Linked DNA regions of Kluyveromyces lactis. The protein of the gene in region 1 interacts with the protein of each later gene in a biochemical or structural test. Links are inferred from orthologs where the notes say so. Each region holds a gene or a part of one and is shown in the gene's direction. Other genes may lie near its edges. The genes, in order: SKP1, DAS1, SKP2, HRT3, RCY1, SIC1 and PFU1.

What was found.
Region 2: the proteins of SKP1 (region 1) and DAS1 form a complex in vitro, tested with the Saccharomyces cerevisiae proteins (2 studies listed by BioGRID). The link is inferred for Kluyveromyces lactis from reciprocal best matches to the Saccharomyces cerevisiae genes SKP1 and DAS1.
Region 3: the proteins of SKP1 (region 1) and SKP2 form a complex in vitro, tested with the Saccharomyces cerevisiae proteins (2 studies listed by BioGRID). The link is inferred for Kluyveromyces lactis from reciprocal best matches to the Saccharomyces cerevisiae genes SKP1 and SKP2.
Region 4: the proteins of SKP1 (region 1) and HRT3 form a complex in vitro, tested with the Saccharomyces cerevisiae proteins (2 studies listed by BioGRID). The link is inferred for Kluyveromyces lactis from reciprocal best matches to the Saccharomyces cerevisiae genes SKP1 and HRT3.
Region 5: the proteins of SKP1 (region 1) and RCY1 form a complex in vitro, tested with the Saccharomyces cerevisiae proteins (2 studies listed by BioGRID). The link is inferred for Kluyveromyces lactis from reciprocal best matches to the Saccharomyces cerevisiae genes SKP1 and RCY1.
Region 6: the proteins of SKP1 (region 1) and SIC1 form a complex in vitro, tested with the Saccharomyces cerevisiae proteins (3 studies listed by BioGRID, with this or other methods). The link is inferred for Kluyveromyces lactis from reciprocal best matches to the Saccharomyces cerevisiae genes SKP1 and SIC1.
Region 7: the proteins of SKP1 (region 1) and PFU1 form a complex in vitro, tested with the Saccharomyces cerevisiae proteins (2 studies listed by BioGRID). The link is inferred for Kluyveromyces lactis from reciprocal best matches to the Saccharomyces cerevisiae genes SKP1 and PFU1.

Annotation. Positions count from the first base shown.
Region 1 is NC_006041.1:1,507,385-1,509,906, reverse strand, and holds SKP1 (SCF ubiquitin ligase subunit SKP1), read left to right. Parts: upstream 1-1,473; coding exon 1,474-2,022; downstream 2,023-2,522. Other genes in the region: PEX3 (Pex3p), read left to right, coding at 1-1,168; YSP2 (Ysp2p), read left to right, coding at 2,387-2,522.
Region 2 is NC_006037.1:558,896-562,152, reverse strand, and holds DAS1 (SCF ubiquitin ligase complex subunit DAS1), read left to right. Parts: upstream 1-1,158; coding exon 1,159-2,757; downstream 2,758-3,257. Other genes in the region: PAM17 (Pam17p), read left to right, coding at 1-13; OAF3 (Oaf3p), read right to left, coding at 2,812-3,257. UniProt on the Saccharomyces cerevisiae protein: Substrate recognition component of a SCF (SKP1-CUL1-F-box protein) E3 ubiquitin-protein ligase complex which mediates the ubiquitination and subsequent proteasomal degradation of target proteins. Probably recognizes and binds to phosphorylated target proteins.
Region 3 is NC_006041.1:662,797-666,642, forward strand, and holds SKP2 (putative SCF ubiquitin ligase complex subunit SKP2), read left to right. Parts: upstream 1-1,348; coding exon 1,349-3,346; downstream 3,347-3,846. Other genes in the region: ZIM17 (Zim17p), read left to right, coding at 366-941; GAS4 (1,3-beta-glucanosyltransferase), read right to left, coding at 3,333-3,846. UniProt on the Saccharomyces cerevisiae protein: Substrate recognition component of a SCF (SKP1-CUL1-F-box protein) E3 ubiquitin-protein ligase complex which mediates the ubiquitination and subsequent proteasomal degradation of target proteins. Probably recognizes and binds to phosphorylated target proteins.
Region 4 is NC_006042.1:1,812,962-1,815,767, reverse strand, and holds HRT3 (SCF ubiquitin ligase complex subunit HRT3), read left to right. Parts: upstream 1-1,256; coding exon 1,257-2,306; downstream 2,307-2,806. Other genes in the region: CHA4 (Cha4p), read left to right, coding at 1-819. UniProt on the Saccharomyces cerevisiae protein: Substrate recognition component of a SCF (SKP1-CUL1-F-box protein) E3 ubiquitin-protein ligase complex which mediates the ubiquitination and subsequent proteasomal degradation of target proteins. Probably recognizes and binds to phosphorylated target proteins.
Region 5 is NC_006039.1:296,529-300,600, reverse strand, and holds RCY1 (Rcy1p), read left to right. Parts: upstream 1-1,272; coding exon 1,273-3,753; downstream 3,754-4,072. Other genes in the region: PRP21 (Prp21p), read right to left, coding at 39-1,196; KLLA0_C03278g (uncharacterized protein), read right to left, coding at 3,795-4,072. UniProt on the Saccharomyces cerevisiae protein: Involved in recycling plasma membrane proteins internalized by endocytosis. Required for recycling of the v-SNARE SNC1.
Region 6 is NC_006040.1:496,913-499,650, forward strand, and holds SIC1 (cyclin-dependent protein serine/threonine kinase inhibiting protein SIC1), read left to right. Parts: upstream 1-1,434; coding exon 1,435-2,238; downstream 2,239-2,738. Other genes in the region: BOS1 (Bos1p), read right to left, coding at 1-610, 726-728; GTPase-activating protein RGD2, read right to left, coding at 2,497-2,738. UniProt on the Saccharomyces cerevisiae protein: Substrate and inhibitor of the cyclin-dependent protein kinase CDC28. Its activity could be important for faithful segregation of chromosomes to daughter cells. It acts in response to a signal from a post-start checkpoint.
Region 7 is NC_006039.1:870,935-874,215, forward strand, and holds PFU1 (Pfu1p), read left to right. Parts: upstream 1-1,500; coding exon 1,501-2,781; downstream 2,782-3,281. Other genes in the region: BEM4 (Bem4p), read right to left, coding at 1-1,039; HNT2 (bis(5'-adenosyl)-triphosphatase), read left to right, coding at 3,014-3,070, 3,181-3,281. UniProt on the Saccharomyces cerevisiae protein: Substrate recognition component of a SCF (SKP1-CUL1-F-box protein) E3 ubiquitin-protein ligase complex which mediates the ubiquitination and subsequent proteasomal degradation of target proteins. Probably recognizes and binds to phosphorylated target proteins.

The DNA of each region.
Region 1 (2,522 bases):
TCTAAAGGGGAAAAAGTTACAGAAGAAGCTTTCCAAAGGTGAAATAGCTGGGAATGAGTTGGAAAATGAGGGCTTAAGTTCAGGAATGAGTGCGATGACGCCTGCACCCAGTGTGTCAGCGAAATCTCCGCAATCTGCAGATACCACTAGCGTTTCTGAAACGTCTACGAAATCCAAGGCCGAGCTTTGGGACGATTTGAAACTCAAAGCTATCACCAAGATCATTATCTTGTCCTATACCACATCATTATTGATGCTTTTAACCCGATTGCAATTGAATATATTGGCAAGAAGAGAGTATTTGGATACTGCCATCAATTCTGCCATGGAAAAGGAAAGGGAAAAGAAGGCTAATCAATACTCAGTCTTATCTTGGTTCTCTAGTTGGATCACTGAAAAGAGCAACAATTTACCCAGTGAAAAAGCTGACCCAAGAAACAGCGATGGTACTATTGACACGGACACAAGGAGCATTGCATCCACTGCGAACCCTGAAAAATCGAGATACGTTAACGAACAAGCTTTCTTATCCTTATCGTGGTGGTTATTAAACCGTGGATACCTACAATACAAGAGTATCATTGAACAATTGGTGAAAGAAGAGTTCCAAAATTCGAACCCAAGAGATATCATGACAATGGATGAGTTCAGTGGCAAGATAAGCAAGATATTCGTCACCACAAACAAGCAATTCTTTCAACAGCCACAATCGAATGAAATGTTCATTTCATGTCTACTTCCTGAACCTAACTTAGAGAGATTTGTTCTTCAACAAACTTTAGAACAAGATGCTTTGAAAGTACTATACGAGGATAATCTATTACTAAAACAACTTGTACAAGAGACCAACAAATGCCTACAATCACCTGGAACATGGATTGTCCTGGAGTCTTTAATCGATGAAACATTCCACACAATCATGGAACAAATCGAGGATAATGTCAACAGCAAATCGAAACCTAAATCGAATGATGACGACACCAAAGTAGTCGATATATCCAAAAATTCATATCAAATCGCATTATTCTCTATCGCCACGAAAGACTGCACAAACGAAATGTTGAAAGCGGGACTCGTATCAATGAACAACAAGTTCCTACAGAAACTACACTCCATCTCGGCACTTGACGATCTCAGTGCATGCGTATATAGTAACTTCGGTCTATGAAAACCTTACTTGGCCCTCCATTCAAGTACTGAAATCGCTCCATACCGTGTATGTAGATAGTTCTATAGTTAACGTTACTCTTTCACTGGCACTACGGGGTTTCTCTTCCTGTTTCTTTAATGGCCACGTGATCATAATTTTCTTTTCCTTAAGGTCAAATAACGAAAAGAATCGAATTCCCAACAGGTTGTCAATCAACATGTTATACATCTCAGTTAATGTTTGCAAGTGGATAGGAGCTTGGTGTTTGTAGTTAGTTAGCACCATAGAGTTACCAAGTGGGTTCTATTTAGTACCAGAAAATCATGTCCAAGGAAAACCAGAACGTTGTTTTAGTGAGTGTTGAGGGAGAGAGATTTGTCGTTGACAGGAAGATCGCTGAACGCTCACTTTTACTAAAGAACTACTTGCAAGATCTTAACAGTGGCGATTTGCATGATGATAACGATGCTGACGATGACGAAGATGATGAAGAGGATGGTGACGATGAAATAGTGATGCCCGTGCCCAATGTGAGGTCGTCAGTATTACAGAAAGTGATCGAATGGGCCGTTCATCACAAGGATTCCAATTTCCCCGATGAAGATGACGACGATTCGAGGAAAGCTGCGCCTGTGGATCCATGGGACCGTGAGTTCTTGAAAGTGGACCAAGAAATGTTATATGAGATTATTCTAGCAGCTAACTATCTAAATATCAAGCCATTGTTGGATGCTGGATGTAAAGTTGTTGCGGAGATGATTAGGGGCAGAACACCTGAAGAAATCAGAAGGACCTTCAATATCGTTAACGATTTCACTCCAGAGGAAGAAGCTGCCATAAGACGTGAAAACGAATGGGCAGAAGACCGTTAAACTTACAAGTTTTCTTGTTGTTTTCTCTTTCTGTATCTACATCCTCTTCAGTTTAAAATAGCAATTTCCCTCATTTCCCGTATGTAATCAATAATTTAAGTACTTGCTTGTTAAGCGGATCTTAATTGAAGTAGTGAATTTGAGTCATGGGCAAACGCAGGGATCGCTTTCATATCGCATTTATAGCTTCAAGGTCTGTCTCTGCACCGATAATTTTTCATTTTTGTACCTATATATAATATTTAAAGAACGCGCTACCTTAAATTGAAACTTTTTGCTTCTGGTTTTATCTATTCAAGGCAGAACTGCATCGATAGATGCACCATAGGACCCTTGTTACTGGTATACTTGGTGTAGGATTGTGATGACGTTGACCATTGGTGAGGAGACCAAATCCAGACTAAGATCGCTAAGCGGGAATACTAGTTCGTTGCTAAATTTAAACAAACGCAAGAAGAAGAACAAGGAAAAGAAAAAGGATAAGGACAAGAGTCAACCAA
Region 2 (3,257 bases), on another chromosome or scaffold:
TGAGTTCTTGTGAAGCGGAAAAATACCAGAAAAAGTATGATGACTATCACTCTCCCACCCAAGGAAACGCCTTTCCGTAAGTACAAGTAAATAGTAAATAATAAATAGTGGTTGATATCTAAAGAAACATTCGTTAAATCAGCATTAGCAATTGCGTAATGGTATATGCCAGAGAAACCGGAATGAAAAGGATCGATACCCAACAAAAAAAAGTATATTTGGATGCGGCGAGGTTCGAACTCGCGCCTGTTAACATTAACAGACCTGCATATTCCGGGTAACCGTGTCCGTCACTCGCAATCCACTTCTGCTCTACCCGCACCCAATAGCCGCCAAGCAATCAGTGAAGATTTTCTGGAGGACCCACAAATTTTTGATTTTCGGACCAGGCCCCTTACAACTCGCACAAAACTGCGTAGAAAACCTCTGTTTAAAGGTTTAAGGAAACGGCTATCGCAATTTTCTTGGCCCCCCCAAAGGTAAAGCAGAATGTGTCAATTGGAAAGCGACGGAGACGGTTTTGATGCCGCATTGAGTCCGCATGCTCATTTCTTGTCCCTGAAGCAGGCGCCTTAACCACTCGGCCACACACCCAGTTCTTATACTGTTAGTAGTTCAACTAAATTGGGAGTAGTTCTTCATTTCAATTTATTATATTCCAGCGCAGTGTAGCCCCTTTATTAACTGGGTTAACTGGGTTTCTTCGATAATCTACCGGTTGAATATGGGTCTATTTACCCCAGTTATATACCATAAAATGGCTCTCTGGAAGTTCTTCTTCAAGGTACCCGGCTGTTCTGTCTGTTCTTTTCATTGATGTCGCGGGTTTGATTGAGGAAAGGAACGCATAACGGATTTCCGTACAATGTGATCTTCATTTCTACTCACGTGACTTTGATTTCAATTTCTTGGAATTCGAAACTTCACTTCCGTTCGTTCTTTGCCAGGAATTCATTACCCTTTAACATGCCTACCTTATGCTTGAATACAATAGCCCAGTCATTCGATTCTTATTGCCGGCTTCTACCATCAAAAACACTAAACTTCTTTCACTCTTGATGGCTGTATGCTGTATATTAGAGGAGCTTTATGTTACTAAGAGGAGAGATTGCTGTTTAAAGACGCCGTACAAATTGCTCTTTTGATTACTTATTATCCATGATTGATACATTCCCACTGGAATCACTTCCAGACGAGCTTTTAGCTGAAGTCATTACTCATGTACCGCAGCGAGATAGATTGAACCTATGTTTGGTGAATAAACGGGTTTCAAAACTAGCACTGCCGATTTTGTATCGGAGAATTTATTTGAACGATTCGAATGTAGTAGAGAGTGATATAGTCAACCTCGCTATCAACTGGACATACTTGTACATGCCCCCAAACGAGGCAGAGTGCTGGTCTCGTGGGTTGGCTAATGCGAAACTTGATCTTCTTATACGCACTTTATCTAGGAACAGTGAAAGGTTGAATTCCATTCAATGGATACGGATTAATTGGGATTTGGATAAAGAGAAGCAGGCAGAAGTTTTAAGGTTGCTATGTACGTACTCTAAATCCATTATACGATTGGAAAACGTTACGGACCCGGATTGTAACGATATTATTGCAAATGGAATCCAATCGCGTCATAATGTCACCAGTTTCGATAGTGCCCCACCTAATTCCATGCCCGAGGGAGAAGTTTCCAGAACGTATTTGCCTAATTTAGCTCAATATTTAAAGCAACGGATTTCTTCTAACTTGTCACACATGACTCTTTTCATGGATCCCATCCAGTTGTTCAATTGCATATACCCATTGCAATTTAAATTGCAAATCCATGACTTGAAACTACATTGGAGGAAAGAATATTATCCGCCCGATCAATTGAAACCGCTGAACCAATACCCGAAGCTTACTAAACTTTCAGATGTCTTCGATGTGAGAACTTTAAAGGTGTTAACAATCATATCATGGAATGAGAATTTGAATAAACGAGAATTGGAAATTTTGACTGAATTTTACGAGTTTACAGAAATTCGGGATTTATCTCTTATATCTATGAGACAAAATCCAGCCATACTCATCGAACTTTTCAAACGTTTGAAGAATTTGAAAAGGTTGAAGACAGATTTTTTGCATGAGTTCACTCCACATCCTGTTTCAACGGATGTATTCCTGTCCATTTTATTAAATTGTAGAGAGCTACAATTCCTAGATTTGAGATTCGAAAATATCGACAGGCAGATCATTTCTATCGAGGGGTCAAGGTTCAAATTCTTACATAACTGCCATTGTGATGATTGTAATCATGTGTTTCAGGATATACTATACGGTAAATTTTTCAATTCGTCGAAAGATATGGTGATCAGAGATTTAAGCGATTTGATCGCTAAGGATATATTCACAATGATGAAATACCTCTCTTTATTACCTTATTCAAAAGCATTTGACATATACCCTTCTGTTAGGACACAACCAATGAATCTCTCGGACTTCGTCACCAAGATTAATGAATACAATAGGCACTATAAATCCATGCATAGAAACTCAACCCCGATTGAACCCATCACAGAATCTGACGTCATCAAGTGCTATCATGCAATGGTTCATCACAATAAAAAGACATATACAACTATACTCTCAAATTTGAAAAGATTACGATATTTGGTTTTGAACGACGTACCTTGTATCGTTCTCGAGAGAGAAGGTGCCCGTGTTCCTGTTCCAGTTTTCTTTAATAATGGTTACAAATCGAATATGGGAAATTGTTAAATATTGTACTTTTCTATACAAGGAACAAGAGGGAAAGTACCAAGCCCAAAAAAATTATGGAAGAATGCTGTCCATCTTGGGGAGTTCACCTACATCCATCCCATAAAAGAGGTCAAAATCTGTTGAGTCAAAGACTTGTTGCAAAAATTGAGTGACATCTATTGCATCTGCCTTGGCCGAATGCCTCTCTTCTAATTTTTCAAGAGCGTGCTGATAACTTGATGAGAAGAGATTTGGTTCGTAGTTTTTACACATCATTTCAACTTTCAAATTAACTACTTTTTCAGTGAAACTGAATCTGGCATTCCAGACTTTTATTACATCGTCGTCTGACATTTCTGCGTCTTTACTGGTTATACCCAATTTTTCTAGAACTTGATGATTCTCATGTTTTAGAATCGTCAACATATGATCTAATGAATCCTCTCTATTGATCAAATTTAAAGTTAGTTTATATTTGAACAATCTTTTGAATACATGATAATAGTATGGGAATTCAT
Region 3 (3,846 bases), about 840 kb from region 1:
CCAATTTCTTAGATTAAACCCTCTAAAAATTCTATATCTCCCAATGTATATTTTGGCTAACTTATAACTCTCCAAAAGCGCTCGGTTGGCCCTGTTCCTCTCCCCCAAGCTCGATATAGATCGCGTAAACTTTTATTCTGAAATGGAAATCCTCATCTTCTCACTTCATAGTCTCTCATTTCAGATTTTCTATCGATATTGAAAAGAAAAAAAAGTTAGAAGTGCGATAAAGAGAGAGAGAGGGAAAACTGACAGTTACTGAATGACTCTATGGATGATGATTGATATAAACTGAAAACCAGTATCGCATCAACCTTTCGGAAAGGGAGGCAGTTCAAAGAGTTCAAATTTAAATTTTCTATTACATGATGAACAGATTTGGTTTGGTCGTTCGCAATGCTGCGAAGAATGGAATCAGAATCATAAGACCGGTTACAAAGTCATCGCCTGAAATTTATCGTCCACTATTTAGTCACCTGGTGCGTACTACGTACAATACCAGAGGATTCCATGCGAGTGTGCGAAAGCTTGATGAAGCAGAAGATGCTGCTGCTAAATTCAAAAATTTAGGGTCCATGAAAGTGGATAAACCGATGTTAATGATTGCGTTCACTTGTAAGAAATGTAATACTAGGTCATCGCACACAATGTCGAAACAAGCATACACTAAGGGAACTGTGTTAATAAAGTGTCCTGGCTGTGACAATAGACATCTTATTGCAGACCATTTGAAAATCTTTAACGATAATCATATTACTATCGAGGATATCATGAAGGCAGAAGGTGAGTCTGTCTCATTGACCACCGACGATTTGGCATTTGAAGATATTCCGGATTCGTTGAAGAATGTTATTGGTCACTACGCAAAGGATGCTCCAGAAGAAATGAAGAAAAAACTGGACAACGAAAAAGTGCATCATTTGCCAAGTACTGAGAAATGAATATATACCGAATGCTTGCTCTTACTTCTCCGAAGTAAGAGACAAGGGTTCGTAATCACTTATTTATAGTTTACGAATTTCGTACGAGCTTTTTTGTATACACATATTTTATACTACTTCAATCATTCATGCATTCTTTTTGACGCAAGTGCTTTCACTCAGAGCCATTTTATGGCCTGTTTCTTGTGCCTTACATCGTGAATAGCGAACTATTCTTGACATTTCCGGACAAAAATCGTTAACTTAGAAATTCCAGCTTCTGAACTCTTCAGATTTACCTGTATAGATACGCAAATGAACAATATGTACAGAAAGAAATCTCTGATAACACCATTTGATGATCGACTTGTCAATGGACCTGTTGTATGTTTGTGCAGGCTTACCCGACAGACTAATTGTTAAGCAAAATGAGAGGACTACAGTTGTTTGGAGGAGGAAGTAGGAGAAGTGTTGAAAGCGAAAGGCCTTTATTGAATACCAAAGAGTCAGTTTTAGTGCCTACTGGACCGCACCTTTTGAAGTTACCAGATAAATTGCTGGAACGAATCCTGGAGAATCTTGATATTCCAACATACTTGTCACTGATACAAGTCAACAAGAAGTTATATCAGCTAATTTGTGAAAGGTTTTTATTTAAACATGTGGTTTTAATGAATAAGAACGCATTGTTAAAATTCAACGCTTTGATTGAATGCAAAAGTCTTACTCTGAGAAATGATATCAGTTATCTGGTGAAAACTGTTGAATTCGTGGATCCAGAATATCATGATTCTCTGTTCAAATATAGCAAATACTATAACACTGGGTTTGCGGACACTGTAATAGGTGGCTCGTATTCATTCAGTGAAAGACAGGGACGATCGACAGATATCAGAACATCGTCTAGATCTGCATCCGTGTCCTCTACAAGATCAAGAACTAAACAAGGTGCTTCAGAGGTATATCATCAACTTTCCAAACTTGAATCTAAATTCCTTGACTACACTTACATTGAATTGATGCTAAATATCATAGATTCACTTCCTAACGTTTCACACGTTATTCTCTCTCAGGTGGAGAAGAACTTCAAGATCCCATTATGGTATTCAGTTTTAAATGATGGCTCTAAGGATTTCTTCAAGAAGATTATTAAAGGTCAAGGGTCAATGACAGTAGAGGATTTGAGAACATTTAGGGTTTCCAGTGATTGGATTAAACAATACGAGGAAACATTCCATTCTCTATCTAGATTCAAACGACTATCTATCAAGGCGAAGACTAACCTAGTTCTAAAGCCTAACTTGCTTTGTTGCTTTGGTGTTTTTGATGAGTTAATGTTGGAAAATATCACCATTACTCCTGAATCCATTGATACACCATTGGAATATTTGCCGCTATATATGCGAATAGGACACGACAAATGTTTGGATCTACATCTTCCAGTTCAAACATTGGAACTCAAATCCTGTGTCATCAAAGCTGGTAATGGACTTATGAGATTATTGTACTCGTTCTTTTTCCGTGTCAGAAAGTTATCATTGTTTGATCTTCAAAGTAAATATGATCTCCTTTTGATAAATTGCTTTGGTTCTCTCACGCACCTAACCATAGACTGTAATAGTACATGCTTTGTCAATGTCAAACCTACTGATGAGTCATATTATTTTCCAGAAGAACCTATGCAGGACGATATGGATGATCTCAAGACACTGATAGACCCTCAGAAAGGTGTAAAACTAACAGCACCACCGCCAACTACACCAGTGGTTGTTGTAATGAGCAATGGGAAGTTAATAAACACCGAAGCTAGCACACCACGGAAACCAGCACTTTTAACAACAGAACAAGCACATTACTTTGGATCCTCATCGATATCTCCTTTCCATTCTTATTTCCATCATTTCAAAAGATTGTGGGAACGGATTCCAAACTCAGGAGTACATTTGACAATAGTTAATATCCCCTTCACGAATGTATTTCCCTTAGTTCCTGAACTTGTGTGGGAACGCTTTTTGACTAGTGATCAAGACACCCTCTACGATAATTCAGACGATGAAAATAACCATGAGTTGGACGAGTATTGGTGGGATCCAAAAATAAAAGAAAATCTTGAACGAGCGACTCATTTCAATAATGATATAGACATCTCTGAAGAAGATTTTTCACCCAGGAAATGGAATGATTTCCATAGGATTAACTCTTTCAAGGACATTCCTAATGTCAACGTTTGGTACTTCTTGAAGCTTTTGTCTAAGTTTCAGTCCGTTGAGATTCGAATGTTACGTCAATGGTTGTTCTGCACTCCTCGTACGAGATATGATTGGGAACTCTTATTACGACCTGTGTTAAATGGCAGAGTACCTGTCACAGTGAAGGATAATGCTGGATATTTGTTATATTCCTATGGAAATTCTAAAAAAACATGATTGAAACTATATCTAAAATAAAGCCAAGCACCATACTACATCCTAAGATGAGGTTTGTTCTAGAGAGTCTTAATCCATTTCCTGAGTTTGAAGCCTTTTTTTCTGGTCCAGTTAACTTCACGGAACCTACTTCATTGACAATCGAGAACTTTGGGCTCCTACTTAACTGATTTCCATTTGCATCATAGTATTTGCTATTGCAAGTTAAGTCTGACTTGTCTAAATTCACATATTTACCTTTATCGCATTTAACACCCTTTCTGATAAATTCAGTGGCTAATTTCGGAACTACTTTCGCAGTGATATCCAAATTGGTGTATTTGTTGGTACATGCAGGACTGTTGTTAACTATCCTAGATGTAGACTTGTCTTGACTTATTTTTAAGTCTGTGCTTGTTGGATGTGGTGTTTGCTTGTATTGGTTTTTGAGCGCCTCAAAGTCCTCTAATAGATAAACATCGCCGGTCTCTTCATTAACTGAGACCAAGCCGTAATTGTTT
Region 4 (2,806 bases), on another chromosome or scaffold:
CACTTGATTGCAGTATTGTTTGGTCGTTCAAATTCTTTGCGTGTGTCAAATTCGACAATTCCAGAAACTGATGAGCTACCAAATATTGATACTGGTATCGAAGATTACCAATACGATCCTACAATTGTAACTTCTATTGCCAAACCTTTAAAAAAGATTATTGTGCTATCAAGAATAACTGAGGTTTTCGCCCCGAAGATATTCATACATGCCGGTTCTTTAACGGAAAGAAGGGAATATCTAACAAAATTCAACAGTGAAGTTTCAAACTGGCGTAAGAATCTACCTGATGAGTTTGCTCTCACTAAGGCAACGCTAATCAACTTCGATTACAATCCTATTTTGGCTCATGTATGGTATCATTATTTTGTTATCCTTTTGTCCTACAACAAACCGTTTATTGATTCACTTCCTGAGAGTAAACAGGCGATAGAAAACGCAATTGAAGAGTTGTACTTTTTATTAAGATCGTTTATGAGAAAATTCAAAACATTCCAGAAAAGTAACATTTATATGCTGTATTCTTCGATTCTTGCAATTCAGTGCATAAAAACTGGTTCAATTAAGAAGGACAATCTTTCGATATTCTTGGAATTTCTAGGATCTCCGTCATTGAACTACGAGCTAGCCAAGAAATTTTACGATAATGAAATGAAAATGTCAAAAAGTAGCAATATAAATGCTAATACTGGACTTGAAAACACTGCACTCTTGGGAAGTTTATCTAATGGTAATGAATTTGCCTTTGAATATAATTTTGATTTTACTTTATTGAATGAAATCGATAAATTAATCGGTGGTGACATAACAATGAAATAAGCAGCATCTATACAGCACTACACACTTTGCACTTTGTTTTAGTTCCTGCTTTTCATTGATGCACCAGATCTTGAAGGACTGGCTATTTATGATTTATCGACTGTGTTTCTTGTGATATTCACATATTAATGAACTTTGAAGTTATATAGCTCTTCATATATTAAATATGCCATGTACTTAATATTACTTTTTAGTCAGATAAGAATCAAGAAATCCGATTTGCTGAGGATGGCAGCTACTGACAAGGAATCCACTTCATATTTTTCAACATTGTGCGTACTTGTCCATCTCTCGGTAGTAACTTTATATTCGTTCCTGTTGCGTAAAGCTGAACAAAACGTAAACAGCATAAAAAGCTAGTCGGCTATATAAGGTAAAAGAGAGAGGAAGCATACTCATTACCAAGGGGCCTAACGCACGAAAAATAACAACGCGTAATGGAGGAACCGATTGAAGCTATAGCACTATGGGAGTTGGGCTATTCGAAGGAAACTGCCGGTGCTATGACCGACGCGATCAAATATTACCGTAAAGCATTAAGGATGAATCCGGACGTTGAGAAACTATATAGAAAGAAGATGCATGATGAATGGCGGTTAAATGAAGAGATGAAAAAGCTTAAGCTCAATTCTAATGTCAATATTGTTGATGGTTCATCGGAAACTGATCCGGACGGCAGAAAAGAGGAAACTGAAGGACTTTCTCAAACTGAAGACCTTGTTGAACTTCCCTGCTGGATTTTGGATATGCTCCCTGACGATATATTATCCATGATTATAGACATGGTTGTGTTAAGCTCAGCAGACTCGTGGATGAACCTATCTTTGACTTGTAAAAAGTTTAATTTGCTATGCTTCCACGATTCCTCACCGTACCGGACTTTCGCGGAATACATCTATAAGAAGCAAGTATACAACGAAAATGAGATGAGGCTAAACGGTATATCAGATATACAAGCACTAGCAGAAACCGTATGGGGTCAAAATTATAGAAAGATGCTAAAGGAACGGCCGTATATCAAGTTCCATGGAATATATATCAGTGTGGTGAATTATTTGAGGCACGGATCGATCCCGGAAGGATCATCTTCGCTGTTGAACCCAATCCACATGATCACTTATTACAGGTACTTCAGATTCTATCCAGATGGAAGATGCATTAGATTATTGACTACTGACGAACCAAATATAGTGGTACCTGGTTTCTCTTTAGAAAGATGTTCTGAAAGAAAAGACTCAGATATATGTTCGTGGTCCCTGTCATTAGACGACGGCCTTGATCAGTTGACAATCAAGAGGAATAGAAGAAAAGATGGGCTTGAATTTAACGAGATCTTGAAAATCTCAAACAGAGGTCACAAGAAGTTCAGCAAGTTGAAATGGATTGCTTCTTCTGCAACGAGGCAAGACGGCACAACAATGCAGTTCTCATTGAGCAAAGAAAAACCATTTCATTTCTCGAAGGCGAAGTCATACCGTGACTGCTAGATCAGGGCTGTCATATTTGATTACTATAACAGCCAGAGAGCTGTACTTCCATCACGACTAATGAGTGGATACTTGTAGCTCGCGCGATGCTAAGTGATAGACGATATACGAGAAAAGCCCGTTCACGTGATATCTTCTTACACGTGACTTTAAATCCTCTCCATGTGAAAATGTCCAGAGCGTCCGGATTTCAATAGAAACTGACGAAAAGCTCGATTACCGGAAAACATCACAGAGTACATCTTAGTTTATAGTAAGGTCCAACAATGTAATGTGAATGAATTATTGGAGGTGCGTTGCAGAAAAACATATAGCCATTGAGTGATATAAGTTGCTATATCGAGTTATTACAGCGTTGACTATTAGCTGGACTATTAGATCTGCGGAGTTTGATATATGAGTGCATGGAGATTCGAGGTACAAGTATACCTAGATTTGTTGCGTTTGATAGATTTATAAAGTACCCATCTAATTATAAAAGGGTATTTTGGACGCAGGCA
Region 5 (4,072 bases), on another chromosome or scaffold:
AATATAACAAATTAATACATACAGAGGCATACATACGTCTATATTTTCTGCCTTTTTACAGGGTTGGCGTTGTCTTGCGACACTATCCGCTTAATGTTTTCGTACACTTCTGATGTAGACAAATTAGTTAACTTATGTTTTGATTCATATTTGTCTCGTACTTCTTTGAACTCAGGATCGCTTAACAAGATTTTCAAGTGTGAATCAAAATCGGGTTCTGGGACCAATCTTCCTGTAATTGGACATTTGAGCATGTGTTCGCTGGTGTTGCTTAGTCCGCTTTTCTTTTTCAATCTAGTTTCACCCGCCTTTCTTATATTCATATTCTTTCTCTTTCTCTTTTGAGCTGCAGCACTGACATCTTCTGTTTTAAAAATGTCAACATCGTTGGTGAGCTTTGTTGCTTTCAATATATCGAAATTCAAGGCTTCTGGTAGCTGTTCTAAGTTTTCTTCTTCGCTAATAGTCACAGTTCCTACCAATTCAAATTTTTCCCATTCATAAGCCGAGAATCTTATTCTAGATGTTTTTATGTCTGCCTTCATCTTTTGTTTCAATTCATCCTGTAATTCCATATATTCTGCTTTCTGAAATGCCCTTCGGAGAATAGTTGATTGTAACGGCCCCTCCAATCGTACTATAGGCCCGTATTCCTCTGATAAAATCTGTTCGTATTGATTAATAAAATCAGTTAATACTGAGTTCAAAGAATGATCAAGCCGTAAAAATGCAAATCGAGGGTCTTCCGCATATCTTTCTCTTAGTTTCTCAAGGTAGTTAATATCATTATTGATAACACAAAAATGAGCCGCTGCTTTTATTAGTTCCAAGTCCTTTTGCCCTATATCATTTCGGTAAGTACTATAGACAAATGGATAGGGTTCACTCGGTTTACGATCCAGTTCATTCTTAGTAGACACCAGAGTATCCTGTCTTGATCTCTGATGCTCTAAAAGGAATGCATAATAGTCGTTGTACTTGTTGCCTGGTTGAGTGAATCCAATATCCTGGCTCTTTAACTTCTCTTCATATGTTGCACCGTTCCTTATAACATATTCAACCGTTTTCCATATGCTCCGCCTTTGTGATTCATCTGCCGGCACTTCTACCCCATCTGGAACAGACAGATAGTCAAAAGAGTCCATATTCAGACTTGTAGCTTGCGAAGTTTTACTGCCCTTGTCTGTCTCATTCATTTCATTTGTGCGTGCTTTACAATATTTCAAATGTTTCAATAGTTCTTATATTAGTTAGATAAATAATAATATTGATATGTTGAACAGAGAACAAATTGTGGATCTATCGAGGAAAACTAAAAGGAACATACAAATTAAGAGAACATTTCCAGAGGATGCTGACACATTGATGCCACTGGGTTTACGAGAGACATCATTATTAACTATGGATTCCGCTGTGACTTTTGCTGACATTCTTAAAGTGAGTAACATAGTCAAACAGATAGCCTTCAGTTTGAACACATCCGATTATTTATCATTCCAATGTCTCAACAGAAACTTGTACCATATACAGTTGAATGGAGTTACCGATAAAGATTATTGGTTAGATAAAATTAAGGGCATAGGCCTGATAGCGGAGGTTGGCTACCTGTTCGACGAATCTACTTCACTAAATGCATGCAATATATTTGATATACATAAAAAATTCGACCCTAAGAGACCGAAAAATGCGTATATGCTGTTTTATAAATTCTTCCAAGGTTTTACCGACAAACTATATTACAATGACGTTACAGCATTTTTCCCTGATGAATACAGTGATCCAGTATCACAAGCAAAGATAATAGAGAGTCTCCAAAAGTACATCAAATCAAATGATAATGACTGGTCATATTATAAAAAGGTTGAGGAAAACCTCAACACATTCAAGGAGTTATTCACCACCAGCATAATAAGAGAATTGGATATTAGGTTTGATAAAAAGGAATATTTTACTTGCTCAAAATTCGTTGAAGTTCTCCTATCATTAGGCCATGAAATGAGTGCTGTTGACTTCTTTAAATCTAAAAATGAGTTTTCAGATTCGGTCGAGCTGCCGCAAACGATATTCGACGAGGAAGACAATCTACGTTATGACCAATTGGAACTTGCTTTAAATACATTTCGAGATTTCCTCAACGACAAAATTACCATCACTGATGAATTGTTCCAGGATAAATATCCTGTTATGGTGCTATACACTGAAAACTTTGTCCAGGATCATCTAATACCATATTTCAATAAACAAATTTCTTCAAATGATGACCTGGATCCGAATAATATCAGAATAATGGCTCTTCCGACCATATGTGACCATATGTCAGTATATTTAGTGGATAAACTCACTACAAGTATTAATGCAGGCGAATCTTATAAGCGATTTGTAGCTGAATTCATTCAGTTATACTTGGAGCCAGAAATCCAGAACTTTTTCGATACAATGGTCTCTGATTTTACAACCAAAACAGAAAAAGCATTCAAAGATTATCAAGAACAAACTCAGCTTAAACAGAGGGAAAAAGACGAAGAGTTGTTTCAGTCTTTAAAGGATAGGACTCTAACCAATGAGGAGTTATTGGACGGTAAAACAAATTTCCTTAAATCTTTTACTAAAATATTCAAAATCAATAACAACGCTTCGAAATCGCAGGCTGATCAAGACTTAGAGATGTCTTACACGTTGCAAAAGATAAATAATAAGTTACAGAACATCACTTCCTTAATCAGCCTTGATTTATGTTACAAGGTCATTCAATCTTGCCGGGAACATATGGAAAAGATTTATTATTTCAAAACCATCAAAGTTTTCGAATCTGTAGTCAAAGCCGAATGCCAAGAAATTTATAAGACTTTGATCTGGCAATTAAGTGAAAACCATATTAAATTGGGGTTCGAGACGGCTTTGCAACTTTTACAGGATTACGATGCCAATGAAACAAAATTGGCAAAACTCAGCATCAATGGCACCTCAGATGATGACAATAAAGTCGAACCTTTGGTTCAGTTCACGGAATTAATTAACATCGGCGACATAATATTGCAAATGATATCTATTTTCTACAACAATGAACTTATTGCGAAAGGAATTATTAATAAAAACAAAGATATATTTAATGATGTGGTTCATACTAAAAAAGTCTTCGAAACTATGCTTGATGATTATGTTGCTAATGGGCTAAACATTGGTATCGATAAACTTATGGACCAAGTCGAGTTTCTTTTCAACACAATGCAGTTCCCAGACGATTTCAATCCAGATCCTAAGGACATTTTAAGAAGAGAAATCCTCCCCTCGAAATGTGCTGTTGCTTGTGTTGAACTTCTTTCAGAACATTGCTTTTTATTGACTGGTGCGACAGATAAAGGAACCATTGATGTTTTCCAACAAGAAGTTGGAGAAAGGTTTTTTGATGAAGCCGTAAAGAATATTAAAAAACATCTAATTTCTGAAGATGGGGCCATATTTTTAATAGCAGATCTCAACTATTATCATGATTTCATATCAAAGAAATTAAAACAAAAAAATATTGTTCCATACTTTGCTGGTCTGAAATCCGTCGGACAGCTTTATCTTATTTCTGGCAAAGATTCTAAAGAGCTTGGCAAATTAATTTGCGACGTGGGGAAATTCCAAGGTGTATTCACACAGGAGGAAATTTACGAATTGGTGCAAAGAAGAACGGACTGGTTGAAAGTTCGTAAGGATGTAGAGAAGGTTATGTATGGACTAGGTGTTTCAGATTGTGTTATCTGTTGAAACTTTTGTATATCTTGTAACTAATGCTGAATTAAATTTATTTACGATTCTTGTTCTTCGGTAAAAAAACTTGAGTAAAATACCTTGACGTTATCAAGCGCGAGATACTTCATGCAATTGTCAAAATCAACCTTTGTGAAATTGTTTAAAGTTTCGTTATAAATGTTTCCTTTTAGCTTCAATATCCTCAAGGTAGGAATGGCTTGTATCAGTTTCATAATTTCTAAGGATATGGTCAATTTTAGGTTCCTTTCTGTGTTTGTTATCTCCAAACTCTCTAATCTGGTGAAACCAGGTTTTAAAAGGAAAACCCTGAAAC
Region 6 (2,738 bases), on another chromosome or scaffold:
GAGATTTTGTCATCTGAGACTGCAATCTCTGAAGGACCCTGTTCTGTTCCATGATATCTTCCAAAGATTCCTGTCCCATCTGTAATATTCTGTCCAAGTGCGCGTTGCCTCTCTCAAAGATCGAGTTCTCTTTCCTCAATCCTTCATATAGTGGTAAACCAGCCGCCGAATTGATAGTCATTCTTTCACTGTTCTGATCTAAGGCGCCTATTCCGAAAGATGTTTGCGGAGGAGCATTGATGTTCCTTTTATTCATCACGGTCTCTTCCACCATTGATGCTTGCTGGTTGAACAACTGATCTCTCGCATTAATTTCTGAGTATTTTTGCTTCAATTCGGTAAATTTCTCTTTTGCATCTTCGTAATCCTGTGTTAAGGTCTGAAGTCTCGTCTCATACTTTAGTTTAGTTTCGTCGTTGTCATCTGAACTATTTATTTGATATTGCTTGTATTGTTCCTTGTACTGATGAAGCGTTTTCTCGAAAGAAACAAGGGTTGTGGCGATCGCCCCTTGCAAAGAGATCGGCGCTGTTACGAGCTCTTTCTCAAATTTACCCAAGTCTTTATTTAGAAGACTTCGCTGCTTGATGGCATGATTATACAACGCGTTCTAGTGATATCGTGGGAAACAATAATTAAGGTAAGTTAGTAAATAAGTAACACATACGCGACGCGTGTCTATAAATGTAGAAATACAATTAGAGCAGCGCTCCAGCGAAACATACCATCTTAGCCCTGTTGTGATCGCAAAAATTCTTGATCGCTAATGAAGATCCAAAAGATTCAAGAAAGGAATACTCTTGAGAAATACAGGAAAATGCTGAGTCAAACGTTGAGCGTCAATCGTCAATTCTGATCGATCTGAATTATCCCAATGCGTATGAATGTTCCATAAACTTTCTTAGTTTCCAGTGGTTCCACTGCTCACAGACGCAATCCTTGTTTAGAAGTTATTTACTGCTACTCAAGTATGACTGCTAAATTGTTGCTGGTTCAATATTATTAGTGGTTCACATTAAAAAAAAAATTAAAGATGCTGGTTTTGAGTCTCACATATATCTATATATAAAGATAGTTTAACAGCGAACCATATCCAGCATAGAGCGGTTGCATACGCACCTAAGTAATCGAATCAGAGTCTCTTCATATCAAATTCCTTCTTGACGATAGTGAGGTTACTGGAAACTGGTTTCAACCTACTCTGCTTTTTGCTTCATTATAAGTTGCCAGATTTTCAGTCCGTTTTGTTTTAGACAGAAAAAGGGATATCATCGGTATAGTATACATTCTATACCATCTTTGCTACTTTTCATTTAGATCTCATCAACACACCGATACATCTGAAAACAATATCAATAGCTTTCAATTGGTAATACTAGAGTTTATCCTCTTTTTTTTTTGCATTCTACGCATTACACTCTTATTTCCATAATAATGACCCCAGCTACCCCTCCAAGTTCTAGGAATAAGAGATCAAATAAGACAGATTTGCTGCTCGCAACTCCAGAGCGAGCCGCGGAATCTGATTCCTCTGGCATGGTTACTCCGGGGACAGTTAGAGTAAAGGATAGATTGCAGCCACCTACTAGACCCATGAATTTAACAAGTCCATGCCCGGCATTAAAGACACCTGAATATACCCCACATAAGAACAAACATACGAAACGCAGGATAGAGTTTGACCAGGAGAAGTTACAACCTGTCAGTAGGGTCTTGTTCGGATCGGATTTCCAAGTAGAAGAAACTTCAAACAACAGGACTTTGCTACCACCAAAGAGAACCGGTATAATGGAGTCTTTCAAAGGCGTTCAAAGTTATAATATCAATGATGAGTATGCTGTCAATAACAAATTCAAACTTGCTAAACAAGAGCCAGGAACTCCAAGTGACAAGATCACCACCTTTGAACTTGCTAGAAAATGGCATAACGAGTCTGGTCTGAATACATCGCAATCAGAAAACGAAGAAGAAAATATTCATATTGAACAACAACCTACGGCAGTCAACCAACATAGTAATTTAGAGAATCCATTTCTTTCGAATAATATTGCTGATGAAAAACTGCGAAAAGAACGTAAAGAGAAGATGCTACTTGAGGACCCTGATTTGGAAGATACAATCACTTATGTGAATAAAGGAGGGAAGGTCGTTTCTAAAAGACATTTGACTGACGATGAGAAACAAAGGTTTAAACCTACGAGACTCTTTGCTGAAGAAATAGATAGGCATGATGGGTAGGTAAGACACATGAATAAAACGGGTTTTTATTTTTTATTTTTAACTATAGCTAACGGTACCGACACAATTCATAAGGAAAGAAGGGTATGGAATTCCCCTGTAACACTACATAACAAAAACTGCTAAAACATCATATTTATAAATACAATACTTACGATAATTTTCGTAGAATATTTCAGTGAAATAAGATTGTCGTTTTTGATCGTCGCAGAGTGTTAATTCTATGTAAAAGTCATATATATTAACAAAAACCCTTCATCAACCCCTGGATGATGGATTTGATCCTTTTCTCTTGAGTTCTTTGAAGATTTTCTTTCTATGCCTCAACAAATCTTCAAATACTTTGTATCCAAGTTCATTAGCTGTTGGCAGAATTGGATGTATTAGGCAATTTGCAAACTCTTGGCTAATGGCATCCCGTAAATTTTCTGCAAGTTCTTGACTTTCTTCAGATTTATTCATTCTAATGATTTCAATTAGTCTCTCGAAATGGGTTGTGA
Region 7 (3,281 bases), on another chromosome or scaffold:
TATGACATTGTAGCAATTTGATGGAAATATCGACATCTTTCCCATTGGAGTAGGATTTATTACTAGAAACGTTAGCAATAGAAGAGAGTATCTCCCTATTAATGATCAACTGGTTATCAAATTCTTTTGAGCCTAGATTTTCGAGTGATGTTAATAGATTGTGTTGGAGGATAGAAGTGTTGACCTCATCGGAAAAATTGTAATCCTCAGGTTCAGAAGTCTTCAATATACAATGTGAGATATTATTGACCAAGCTGGGTAAAAATGTATCTTCCTCTTCATCTTCAACTTCTTCAATTTGCGCATCATTTTTCGAAGTATCAATTTCTCCAGAATTGCAAACTGCTATATTGGAAGTGCTTTCAATGCATTTACAGACTTGAATTAAAACTTCAGAAAGGGAAACGAGCTGAACCAAAGATAAAAACTTCTTATGATCTACAAAGGAGCATAAGAGGTCAAAAGAAGTTCCGACAAGTAGGTTGTACTGTTCGTCTAGAAATACATTTTTCATAGAAATAATCAATTTGAAAAGTGGGACAGCTACTCTTCTTGCTGCTCTTTCATAATAGGTATCGTTATCCATGGCCAAGTTAGAAATTAAAACAACTGTCCTCAATTGCAATTTAACAACGTAGTCTTCCTCGTCAAATAGACCAAGTATCCTGCCAGCGTAGTAGTCGATAAATTCGTTATGTTTGGTACAGTCGCCATTCCAAAATACCTCCCTATTAGCATCATTATCAACCAGGCAATTTGCAATGGATCTTACTAATTCTGAAGAGATTTGAAGAAATTGTATCCGTTTACTTGATTCTTGGAATGCATAATCCAAAAAGGAATTTAGTACCCTCAACAATTGACTTAATAGACCAGTTTCTCTAATAAGGTCTCTGTTTGATTCAGCACGTAGATGCACCGCTAATTGTTCAAGAACTGTAATATAACTTTGTAAAAAGACGTCCTGGACAGGAACATCCTTTGGATTAGCTGCATTGAGCAATGGTTGCAAACCAAATAGTATCTGCTCATATTCCATTTTTGGACAATGGACTATGGGCTTTAATCGTGGTTATCATTTTTATAAAGTGGACAGTCTCGCCAAGACCGCACTTTCAATGATCGATCTTTAAACATACAATTGCTGACTTTTTAAGATTCTACTCATAAATGTCAACAACACACATAGGTAAACAAGAAAGGTAAGGTCATAAAATAATACTGGTTTGACAACCCATGACTAGAATTCTCTCGAATATTATCTTGATTATGGCATGAGTTAACAGGACTCGGTAAGTGACCTTCTGTAATAGGTCAGATGACCTATTATTTCATACACATAATAATACTTTCGGTAGCTGCAAACACTTTTAAATAGTGAAAAATCGCAAAAGTTGAGCATTAGTAAAAGCATCGACTAATTGCTAAGAAACTAATAAGGTAAGTAATATATTTCACATAGTCCATCTATGAGAACATATCCGACGGCTTCAAGAAACTATGGCTAATAAAAGAAGGCCAAAGAAAGTAAAGCCTCCTTATAGAAAATATGTTGGCGGTGTTGGATTCACACACACTCAAGGGTTCAGTCAAATAGCTGAAGAAAATGACACAACGAATATCCAAAAGTTTAATGAATTACAAATAAACGAAATACGTAATCCTTCTGATAGCGAGGAATCACGACTACAGGGAGATTCTGTCCGATCAGATGTAACTGATTACGGTGGTATGAAGCTTCCACTAGAAATATTTGACCTTACGATTTCTATGATGAGTCCGCAAGATATCAGGATGAACTTAGTGCTAGTGTGTCGAGCATGGTATCTTATATGCATACCAAAATTATATCGTACACCAAAGTTAACTAGTCGAAACTTTTTAAAGTTTGTGGAAACGGTATTGGCAGATAGGAAGAGAAAAACATGTGAGCACGTAGTTCATTTGGATTTATCTCCTATTATACAGAGTGGGAAGAATAGCTATGTGTCAAAAGTGCTACGACGTTGCTCTAAAAATTTGGTTTCATTTACAGCGCCACAGACTAGTTTTGGAATAGCTCCTTTGATCAGTCTTAAATCCTGCCAAAACCTTAAATACCTTGATTTAGGATTGGTATCAGAAACAGTCAATTTAAAAGAATTATTCTTGGCGATCAAAAACTTCCATGAGTTAACACATTTATCGTTTCCAAGAAGTTCCATTCAATGTGACGGATATAGAGACTTCCAATGGCCCCCAAATTTACAATATTTGAAGCTCAGTGGTGGGATCACAAATGAGTTCGTGCAAGAAACGATATTTCCTAATACCATCAAAATCTTAGAGTTTTCATTTTGTCCCCAAATTAATGAACATTCAATATACACAGTATTGGCCAAAATTGGTGATAATTTGACACAACTATACTTCCATTATCCAATGCCAGCCTTAAAGGACAATTCCTTGGATCATGTATTCAGGTACTGTTCCAATTTAAAAGTACTACAACTAATGATAGATTATTGCACCAGATGGGTTTTCAGTGAATACTTCTTTACGCAATTACCATATCCTCGGCCGCTTAGAACCCTCATATTGGAATGTAGCGGCCACCTTGGTCAAACATTCAAAGTACATCCTGATGACTTAACTATAGCGATATGTGAGGGTAGATTGCCTTGTTTAAAAATTATCCGAATTTCTTCTAGGCTAGGTTGGGACTCTCAAGGCGATGACGTCGGCGATTTAGTCTCGAGTTTGGAGGAAGAAAACGGCGGGAGCATGTATATCACATACTGAATGCAGTGAAAATATATAACACATAAAATTGATAGAATTTGGACATTTAATAGCCACAGTGCTTATCGGTTAGAATGAATACTCTTATTCAGAGTGCTATTAAATCCTATGCGTACCTTTACGTTGCATCAAAGCCTAAGAAAAATACATTTTTATTTAGATGTCGGATCTTGGCTAAGAATGGTTTACTTTAAGGACAAAAAGATAGGGCCGCAGCCAACAGTGAATCAGAATGACTGCAGGTTCCATCTTTTTCAGCAAGTTTGTTGTTACAAAACAAGTTTTCTACGTATGTGAAATACCATGTAGAGGATATACTTTAATTAGCAAAGTGCAATTATTGCTTTGAGTGATACCTTCAATTTACTAACCGTTGAATTCACTACTCAATAACTTCAGAAAACTAAATATTCATACGCGTTGGTGAATTTAAAACCTTTATTTCCGGGCCATGTGCTAGTTGTGCCGTTGCGTACCGAATGCCTTTCTCTCTCTGATCT